Oryctolagus cuniculus: one gene and its partners. The protein of the gene in region 1 interacts with the protein of each later gene in a pairwise test. Links are inferred from orthologs where the notes say so. Each region holds a gene or a part of one and is shown in the gene's direction. Other genes may lie near its edges.

Region 1 (2,992 bases):
TATTTTAAAAGTCCATAAAGAGTAAGATTAATTTTAAAAAGAATTCAGACCAGAGACATGGAGGTATTTCATAGAATAGAATAATGGGCTATTAGCTTTTTTAAAAACAAAATTCATTTTTCTATGAGAAAGAGAGAGAGAGAGGCCTTCCATACACTGGTTCACTCCTCAAATGCCAGCACTTTCCAGGTGCAGAAGCAGGGAGTGAATTGGACACAGAGCAGCCAGGACTCCTAGTGTTCCAACATGGGACACGGTGGTGTCGCAGGCAGCAGTCTAACCCACTGAGCCACAACACCAGCTCTGGATCCTAAACTCTTAAAAGTTGCTTCACTTCATTAGAAAACAGGAAAGACAAAATAAAAGCACATAGAGATAACATTTATTGTCATCGTGTTGGAAAAAAAAGTCGAACCTGGTAAATCCAAATGCTGGCATAGATGTGGGTTACTTGAACTTTTATGCCCTGGAATGAATAGGGAAACTAAGCTGATAAAACCTTGGAAAACAGTTTTTCACATTAGTGTGTTAAGATGAATGTGCACATAACATTCAACCCATTGATGAAGCTCCTGGCTACATAACCAGGTATGTCCCTTCCCATGCTTATCAGGGCACCAGTACAAGAGCAGAGCCAAATACCTTGGAGACATCTTGAATGATAAGTCCTTTCTTGTCTACTTTTTATTGTTGTGATTTTTAATTTTAAATCCCCAAGGAAAAAAAAAACTGGGAGGTAATACTACAATGAATTCCCTTTGTTGTAAAATATGAAGGGTAACCATCTGCATGCATCTTCTGAATGTTTATAAATTATCATCATGAATACCAACCTGATTTAACTCAGGATGGATTTATTTTTGTATTTACGCCTCCTACATGGTGTCTTCGTGTAAGCCTTTGAGAATCTGTTCCTCCTAGGTAGGCCAAAAGGAGAAAGCACTCGAATTTAATGTTCTGTTTTGCTTTGTGTGTTCTCTTTCTTTGTCCAAGGTCAAAGTGTGGTTCCAGAACAGGCGGATGAAGTGGAAGAGGGTAAAAGGGGGCCAGCAGGGCGCTGCCGCCCGAGAAAAGGAACTGGTGAACGTGAAGAAAGGAACCCTGCTCCCTTCAGAGCTGTCGGGGATCGGTGCGGCCACACTCCAGCAAACAGGGGACTCTCTGGCCAACGAAGACAGCCACGACAGCGACCACAGCTCAGAGCATGCACACTTATGATCCACACAGACAGGACCAGCTCCATTCTCAGGAAAGAAGCGTCGTGATGGCAAGCCTTACCCAACAGCGTTTACACAGAGAGATGGCCATGGCCGTGATTTTTAATATTATTAAATTCAGGCATCGTGTTTCTGTTTTGCATGATTTATAGAGGGTTTACACTAAGTGCCAATTATCCAAGATGCTTCCATGATGAAGATCAGAAGGTGAATTTGCTTCGAATATTCCAGAGATATTTGGTTGTGTGTATGACAGTGAGCAGGTATGTTTGCTTTTGCTTGCACTGAAAAATTAAATGGCTACCAAGAGCAAATTATGACACATTTCTACACAAGATGCCTCCAGAGTGAAGACATTGAAGATGAACTTGCTTTAAACATTCCAGATGTACGAGTTCATGTTTATGACTGTGGGCAGGTATTTGCTTTTGCTTGCACTGAGAAATTGCTATCAAGAATAAAACATAAAACCTTTTATCCTGAACAGCCAAAGTGCCTGAGATCACTCAAGTGGATTTTTAAAAAGGATGTATTTTAACTCTGTATATATTATCCTTAAGTCATTTTCCTGTCTTCACTAATTTTAGCAATACATTCATATTAGCTGATGAAAATAGGCACTGATAATGCCAACCAGGCCAGCTTCCTGCCTTTTTATGCATTTGTCATTCCGAGACAGTCCGTATGTGCTTACTTGTGTACAAGTAGAGAAAAATACAGTAGAGTCTGATACGACATATTCTTGTACCACAGACAAAACAAATCTTATGTTGCATTTACTATCAACTGCTGCTAATACATTATTATACAACTTACCTAGCTCCTCCTCGATTTTTCCTATCTTGTAGCTTGAAAAAAAAAATAGGACCATAGGCAAATCAGTTACTTTGTGGAAAGAGCTTTTTTGAGGCAGACACTGTCTGATTTTATTTCTGTAAAATTTTAGCTGTTATGAATATGACTTAATTAACAAGAAAATGTTTCTTCCTTCTTAGCAATGGTGTCAGAAAAGGAGCAAAGCCAAATGGGCTCCCCAAGGAGATAGACAAAACAATTCTGAATATCTTCAAATTAAATTCAGTAAAAACACGTTATTTTTAATATGTGATGTATTCTTGCAGAACAACCATCTTTGTATTTTGTAAAAAATGTTTAATAAATGATCCTTTGTAAATAATTTTGGTCTACCCATTGTGATTTCCTTAATTTCTACAGATTTTAATATTCATATCTAAGAGAGCCCCAGACTCATCTGCTCTTGTGCTAATTCACATCCAGATCATTAATGAATCACAGGTTTTCATTTGTAGATTTATTATGGCAAGAAAAAAAAAATCAATCCTTGGGTGATCAAAGAGAATCTAAACATCATCATACTGTAAACCATTTTCTTAATTTGAAGAATATGGCAAATGAATGTCTTTGCATGCTTTACAAATCAAAGATAAAAGTAAGGGAAAAGGTAACATTATTCACCACAATGAATAAGTAAAGTAGTCATATATTTTAAAATGTATGTTTAACATATGTGAATCGATGCAGTAGTTGCTCTAAAGTCACACTATCCAGAGTCCTTGATGTTACTATGAGCTAAATAGCAAATCAGAATCTTCATTGGAATGGACACCACAGGTATCAGAAGTCAATTATTATATTAACTTAAAACATTTTGTGTCATGCATGGTTGCACATGCATTGGATGCCTAAGACCTACTTACAACTATATCAGGTTATTTTTTAACTGTTCCACATTTAACCAGAAGCATTTGGAAACA
Region 2 (3,751 bases), on another chromosome or scaffold:
GCATGTTCACCTCTGCTAATTTTTCCACTAGAGTCTCCTTTTATTCTTAAAGAGCAGTGTCCTTGAAAATTTAATAGGGAATTGTATTTTTAAATTTTATTTTTAAATTTTAATTTTAGTTTGAGAGACAGTAAGAGACAGGCAGAGAAAGAGCTTCCATCTGCTGGTTCATTCTACAACATGCCTGCAACAGCCAGAGCTGGGGCAGATTGAAAGCAGAAATTTAGAACTCTGAGTCTCTCATGTGGGTAGCAGGTACCCTAGTTCTGCTGCCTCCCAAGTGCGTATCAGTAGGAACCTGGAATCAGAAAAGAAGCCAAGGCTCAAACCCAGATTTTCCGATGTGGAATGTGGGCATCTTAACTGCTGTGCTAAACACCTGCCCCTGTATACCAAAATTTCAAATGCACACGCCCTTTGAACAGGTGCACTGGTGCAATTGTTTATCCTAGAAATGAATTCACAAAAGAATGTACACATGGAATGCTGATGCCTACAGAATAGCTTGTACATCAACAGGGATATTAAATAAGTTAAGGTACACCCATAGAGTGGAATACTATTTAGCTGTTAAAGAATAAGTTGTGGGGGCTGGCGCTGTGGGGCAGCAGGTAAAAGCTGCAGCTTGCTCTGCCGGGATCCAGTGTCGTCACTGGTTCGAGTCCCGGCTACTCCACTTCCAATCCAGATCCCTGCTAATGCGCCTGGGAAAGCAGCAGAGGATGACCCAAGTGCTTAGGGAGACCCAGGTGAAGCTCCTGGTTCCTGGTTCCTGGTCTGGCCCAGTCTTGGCCATAGCGGCCATCTGGGGAGTGAACCAGTAGATGGAAGATCCGTCTCTCATCTCTCTGTGTTAACTCTGCCTTTCAAATAAATAAATGTTAAAAAAAAAAAAAAAAGAATAAGTTGTGTGGGCTGCAAAATTAAATTGTGATCCCGTTAAGCGTTTTAAAATACATATACACGAGTACTTTTTCACCAAACAAGAGGTTTATTAAATGCTATACACAAAACATTGACAGTAGTTAGCTCTGGGGAATGAGGCACTTTTGATTTTACCATCTTTGCACAAATTGATTCTTTACATATATAATCTGCATAAAATAATCTGTACAGTTTGCTGACCTGAACTATTGGTTGATCTTCCATTTCTGTGAAGACTCCCGAAGAGTGAGATTCGTCTTTGTGTTTGCTATTCTGTCGCGTTTTAACTGAAAGCCCCTCCGTAAACGTGTGACGCGCTCGGGCCGTGCAGGTGCCCCGGGCATCGCGCGTTGGCCCGAGGCCCGCGCGGGCGGGCGTGGGGCGGCGCTCCGCCCGACGCACCACAGAGAGGAGCGGCCGCGCTCCTAGAGAGGCGCGAGCCGCCGGAAGCTGCGCGTTGAGCGCCGGCACCGGGAGACCGGAGACCGTTGACTCTTAGCTCTGGGTGTGAGACGCGCTCTCGGCCCTTGTCCTCGTCGCAGGGAGCCCCGGGGAGACTCACCCGCCCAGCGAGACGCCGCGGCCCGGCCTCTGGGGAGACTGGCCGGCACCTCCCAGGCCTCCGCGTTCCGGTGGGAACGAGCCTTTCGCGAGGTCGGCTACATCTTTGTTGTGTACAGTTCCTAAACTTTAATGGTCTTTTAACCAGCAGTGAAACACACACGCTTATTGAGTGTCTACCGTGTGCCAGGCGCTATGCGAGGTGCAGGGGTGCAATCTTAGATACAGCCCGCCCCCTCCGCCCGAGGGTGCCCTGGCTACTGGCATCTCGGGTACATCTGCGTGCCTTCGTCAAGAAGTCCAGCAGTGTTTGTTGACTACCAGGTACGTGCCGGGCTCTTGGAGTATATAAGCTCCTGTGTTTAGGAGCATGTCGGGGTGAAGTGAAATGGAGAGAGGGGCGTGGCTTCAGGTTTGTATGGTACACCCCACCTCCACCTGCGTGGCCTAGAGACAGAATAGTTTTCCCGGTCTGTACTTAGTTGGCATTTGCCCTGGGCGTTGGGAGTTTACCATTGGAAGCACAGTGGTGGTGTAAAGGACAGAAGATGGAGACTTGTTGAGTAGCCAGCATGGCAGTGACTTTCGTGAAGGTAGAGGTGAATTTAAATGAGGACTTAGCTGTATGTCTGAAAATAATGAGGCACTCGAAAAGTTGAGATAAATTGAACCTGGGGGATTGAATTTCATCCAAGGAGAAGTATTCAGACGTTCTTTGAGAAGGTTGGTAGGAAAAGCAAACCTTGCAGTCATGCGACAGCAGTCAACATGGAAGCCTTCCTGCTTGACGTTTGCACTGACAGGTAATCAAGCAGTGAGTTCTGCGGCAGACACCAGCTGAGTGTGTGTCCTCTAATTCAAGTCGCATGTGACATGTTCTACCTGGAGAGAGTGACATCCCACGGGTTGAGGGCTCAGTCCCAGAGGACTGCGCCCCACTTCCTTATGTCAACCATAAGCACCAGGTGGTTTTTCTTGTGCTTCTGACGGACTGGCTGTAAACCGTGTTTCCATTACCCTCTCTTTGGATTTGGTTCATTTCCTAGGGTGGCTCACAGAACTCAGGAAAGCATACAGTGTTTACTGGTATATTGCAAAGGGTTTTCCCAGTGATGTGGATGAAGAGTTGCACAGGGCAAAGTATGCGAGAAGGGGCATGGGGCATCCACACCACTCTCCACATGTTCTGCTGTCCAGCAGGTCCCCAAATCCTCTCCTTGTGGGTTGAGGAGCCTTCATTACAGAGATTAAGTCATTGGCTGTTGGCCGTCAACTCAACCTTCAGCCCGTCTCCACTCCCCTGAGGCTGGAGCTGGAAGTCCTAGCACACTAATGTTGCCTCAGTCTGTCTGCTGACCACCCCCATCCTGAAGCTACTCAGGAGCTTCCAGCTGTCAGTTGATCCTAAGCATACAAAGAGACATCCTCACTTCCAAGATTTCACGGATTTGAGGACAAATACCAAGTAAATATTTCATAGTGTCACAGGAGGTGTGTTGAATGTTGTCAGAATTGTGCATTGAGAAACTGCTAATCCTGTGACCATATAGAGAAGGGACTCAAGCAGGTCTATCACACAGAAAATTATTAGTCCTAGTTAATTAAACTGATAGTAGGATAAAAGGAAAGAACAGCTGCAAGAGGCGTTCTGTAGAAAGACTTGACTGATTTTAATCCTAAATGCATGGAAGATGGCAGTGATATGAATAGAAATGGACAAATACATGGTGAAATACAGCCTTGAGGGGATTTCAGTTTGGGATCTATTGAAATTATAGTGCAGGAGAATCCTATAGCTGGAGGTATCCTGCTGGCATTTCAAGTTGTAGGTCAGGGAAGTAAAAGGTCAGTTAGAACCAGACAGAGATTTGGGTGGTTTTGGAAGAGATAGATATTGACATTGTGATAGAGATCACAAAAGGAGAAAGCAAGGAGAGAGAAAAAAGGAACTTGACGCGTGTGTACTGTTTCAGTTATCTTAAAGGAAACCCTAAATTTAGTGACTTAAAACAGTTTCTCAGGATCTGTAGGCTGAGTGGTCAATTGTACTGCTGGTCTCACTTGGGAGTCACTCATATACAAGGTTTTCAAAAAGAATGCAAATGCATATTATGAAAAAACTGTGCATAGGTAAAATTTTTGCAGCAAAATAAACTTAATTTTTATATTTTTAAAACATTTATTTATTTATTTGAAAGGCAGAGTTACAGAGAAGCAGAGAAAGAGAGAGACAGAAAAAGATAGTCAGATAGCCACAGTGGCCGGA
Region 3 (3,751 bases), on another chromosome or scaffold:
CTAAATTTCCCGTCCCTGTGTATTGCTTTCCAGTGCGCAGAGGCGTTGCTTGAACGTGGTCTGAACTCCCAGGCATTCCAAGGGGGCAAAAGCACTTGGGCAAAAACGTGCAAGTCTGCATGTTACTTGGGCTCGCCGCTGACACGCCGACCGTGCGCCGGCCTGTCAATCACGGGCAGCAGCAACAGGCGGCACATGGCAGCGGGCTGCGGGCGGCGGGCGAGAGCTGGCCAGCGGCCCGCCCCGCTCCCTCGGCCCGGCGGAGCGGGCGGCCCAGGGCCTGGGGAGAAAGGAAATTCATGAGTTTCTCTCTCTGAACCCTGTAGCGGGGATCCCGGCCGTGGACGCGCAGGGTCGGAGGACCGGGACTGAGCGCTCTCCGGGAGAGGCTGCCCGCGGACACACTGTGCCCCCCACTTGCCCGGCGTGCGGCACCGAGAAAGCGCCTCGGCCTGTGCGGGGGACAAGGGACGACGCCGGTCTCTGTTTTCTCTCTGAGAAGGACCCCCAAACTTCGCTCCTCCACAGCCCCCTCCCCAAAGCGGCAGACAACCCCCCTACTACCCCCCACCCGGCAGCGGCAGCCTCGCGGGCGCGTGCCCTCCGGGGTCCGGCCGGGGCCTGCCGCGGCTCCGCGACCCGCCCGCCCGACGCCTGTGCGAGCCCTGTCCCGGGCGCCGTGAAGTCTCGAACGCCCGTGACGTGGATTTTCACTCGTCAGGAGGCCGCCGCCCCTCCGTCCCTCCCCGCGAGGAGCGATTGGCACCCGAGAAGTACACTCTGGTCCGAGCACACCGTGCCAGTCAGCTGGCCCGTCACGCACTCTTCTCTCCGCCGCGCCCCTGCTCGCTTTTCTGAGACTCGGAGAGGCCTCCCGAAGGGACTCTGACTAGCTAGCTCTTGCCAGTCGGGCTGCAGAGGAACGGCCCCGAGGTGGATGGGACTGGAGCCGTGAGAGGTCTGCGCGCCCGGCCGAAGGCGAGCGGCCGCAGAACTGCTGTCCGCAGCCGGAAGGGGGCCGCGGGGAGCGCTCCTGCCCGGCTGCGGCGGGGGCGAGGGAGGCCGCGCGGGCCCACTCCTTGCAGCCTGGGCGATGCCTGCTCGTCCTGCGCGCCGCGGTTGATGCGGCGCGTGCACGACGCCGCCCGCACCGAGACCAGGGCCGGCTCGCTCGGCTTGGCTGCCCTCCAGCGCTTCGGCCTAGGTGAGTGCGCGGCGGCGGCCGCCCGCGGGCAGGCAGGCGGGCGGGCGGGCGGCGCGCGGGCGGGGCTTGCTCGGCGCGGCAGGTGCGGGGCTCCCGGACCGGAGGGGCAGGGCCGGGGAGGGCCGAGGCCGCGCGTCGCAGGCTCCGCCCGCCGCCCCTCGCGTCCTGGGGGCTGCGGCTCAGGGCGGTGGGGGCGGGGGAGCTCGGGGGTGGGCAGCCGGGGTGTGTGGGGGGGCGACCTTGCGCGGCCCAGGACAACGACGAGGCAGGGTCTTCCGGTGCTTAGTTGCTTGGAGCGGGTGTTGCCGTGGCCCAGGTTGTGGTCTCCACGCGAAAGATGGATTCGGGGGGCTTTCGTGGGGGTGTTTCCCTGGGTGGGGGGCAGGAGTGTCCTGGCTTGTGCCACCAGCGGGCTTTCTGCGGTGGAGTCCGCGCTCGGACGTGGGGTCGGGAAAGACCGTGTGCGCGCGCTCGTGGAGGGCGGTGAAGCCCCCCACCCCGGGACAGAACCCGCGTGCGCCGCGGAGCTTGTTTGGGGAGCGGCGGCGAGGCGAGGGGAGAGGGCACTGCCACTTTAACAGTGGGGAAGTCCGCCCTCCTGAGGTAATGGTAACCTCAGCCTCCTCCCGCCTCCTGCCGGAGCTAGAGGGAGAGAGAGAGAGAAAACTTGTTTTCATTCATAACTTTTTCCTTTTCCTTCCTCTGCGTCCACTATTTATTCCCCGCTCCTCTCAGCGCGGATTGCAGAGGGCGCAGCTCCACCGTCGTAACCGGGCAATGTGGCGGCGACGCTCCGCTGCGGCCCCTGCCCCGGCGCGCTCGGCCCCAGCGCTCCGCGACTGCGGCGTGTCCTTTAAAGTGTAGACGGACGCTCGCCTAGACGCCGGCCGCCGCGGGCTCGCTCGGAAGGCTCGGCGCGATTGGCCGGAACCCTCGGTGTCCTGCGCAGAGAGTGTGCTGGAGACCCCCGGGGACGCGGAGGATGTGACGGGATTGCCCGCACAGGTATGCCGCTTCGCCTCGCGGCTCCGGGGGCGCGTGTGCGCGCGCGGGCAGGGGCCGGGGGGCTTCCCCTTCGGGTGCCAGGCGGTAGATTTTGTTGGGGTTTTGTGCGTTTGGGAGAGTCGGGGTGGGATCTGGGCGACTTAGTCTCCCCGCCAGCGTGGACTTGGTTCCGGCCATCAGAATGAAAGTTGCGCGTGGTGGGGATGATAGGGCCCCTTTGCAGGACTCTTGGCACATTGAGAGCCCCCTCCCCGCCCCCCGTGCTCGCAAAGCTCTGGGCTGAGAAGTGGCGGTACTGGGCTGGAGGGAGGATTCGGAGCCTCCAGCAGCCCCCGGGGACCTCGGGACGGAAGGCGGCAGGCCGGGACCGTGCCGCTGGGCGCGCGCGGGGCGAGCGGCGTGAAGGCGCGGGACGCCGGCAGGGTACCGCACCGAGCGCGGGGCAGGGTCTCGGGGCGCCGGTGGCTGCCGGGAGTGCCCCGTGTTCTGCTCTGCTCCTTAAGCCGGCACGGAGTGTTTTGGCGCAGAGTCCTAGTGGAGAATGGGCAGGGTGTGTGTGTGTGTGTGTGTGTGTGTGTTTTCTTTTCATTCTTCCCGTTGGGTTGAATCTGTAGACTTGGAAGGTGTTTGTGTGAAAAATATTTTAGTTTGCCATTGATGAGAAGGGAAACGTTTTTATGCTTGGTAGGTTTTTTTTTTTTTAAATGAAGAATACATCATAAATTAGTAATCTACGACTTTTATGGAAACATAGATGTTTGTTTTTATCAGGATGTTAGAGTACTTATTTTATTACAAGAGGCGCATTGATTCAGAGCTGGCAGTACTTTTGAAAATCAAGGCCCCGTCCTCTAAATGAGGATTTTTAAATTAGAGGAAATACAGATAATTAAGATAGCCAGGATTTCCTCACACTGCTTGAAAGGCCTAACGCTTATTTGTGCATAAAAATTATCTTGTTATGTGAGTGAGCCCTTATTTAAGCTTTTAAAAAAGGCATTTCATGATTTCCAGTAGGAACGCTCAGAACATTCACAGAAATGTGCATTGGGTTTTGTGTATGTATTGTAGTGGCTGTAAAACACCAGGACCTCTTGCGTTCCTCGTGTGCTCATTTCTGTGTCTCATTGAGGAAAAGTGAGCATCAGAATCCCAATTTCTACTGAAAATGACTTGAGATTCCATTTTAGTTTTGCATCTCTTGAGGTTTTTTGCAAATGCCTGCATTAATTTCCTCCTCATCAAGCCAGTGCTTGTAGTAGCACACAAATAACAAAAAGGCAACAGCACCAAAGCCATTCTTGATTTTTTTAGAAGAATGGATCTCTTCTTTTACGCAAAAACACTGATGAACTGACAGTGAACTTTGTTCAGATGACAGCTAGTCCAGTGCTTATAGTCAGGGTTCCATATGAAGGCAAGCTCCATTTTAATTATGAGATTTGCAAACAGGAAGGCATTACTTCCTCTTGATTCCACTTTTAAAAACTTGGAAAAACTTCTAGTTTTTATGGCATGGACTCTTGCTTACATTCTTATTCT

The links.
Region 2: the proteins of MEOX2 (region 1) and PGBD1 interact in binary tests that used the Homo sapiens proteins (3 or more experiments, as listed by UniProt). The two-hybrid records come from large-scale screens. The link is inferred for Oryctolagus cuniculus from reciprocal best matches to the Homo sapiens genes MEOX2 and PGBD1.
Region 3: the proteins of MEOX2 (region 1) and SPRY1 interact in binary tests that used the Homo sapiens proteins (3 or more experiments, as listed by UniProt). The two-hybrid records come from large-scale screens. The link is inferred for Oryctolagus cuniculus from reciprocal best matches to the Homo sapiens genes MEOX2 and SPRY1.

The regions. Positions count from the first base shown.
Region 1 is NC_091447.1:7,213,597-7,216,588, reverse strand, and holds the end of MEOX2 (homeobox protein MOX-2), read left to right. Parts: intron 1-993; coding exon 994-1,218; 3' UTR 1,219-2,394; downstream 2,395-2,992. UniProt on the Homo sapiens protein: Mesodermal transcription factor that plays a key role in somitogenesis and somitogenesis and limb muscle differentiation. Required during limb development for normal appendicular muscle formation and for the normal regulation of myogenic genes.
Region 2 is NC_091436.1:153,741,339-153,745,089, forward strand, and holds the start of PGBD1 (piggyBac transposable element-derived protein 1), read left to right. Parts: upstream 1-1,348; 5' UTR 1,349-1,578; exon of another isoform or gene 1,579-3,751.
Region 3 is NC_091439.1:41,315,463-41,319,213, reverse strand, and holds the start of SPRY1 (protein sprouty homolog 1), read left to right. Parts: upstream 1-1,389; 5' UTR 1,390-1,520; intron 1,521-1,621; exon of another isoform or gene 1,622-1,939; 5' UTR 1,940-2,209; intron 2,210-3,751. UniProt on the Homo sapiens protein: Inhibits fibroblast growth factor (FGF)-induced retinal lens fiber differentiation, probably by inhibiting FGF-mediated phosphorylation of ERK1/2. Inhibits TGFB-induced epithelial-to-mesenchymal transition in lens epithelial cells.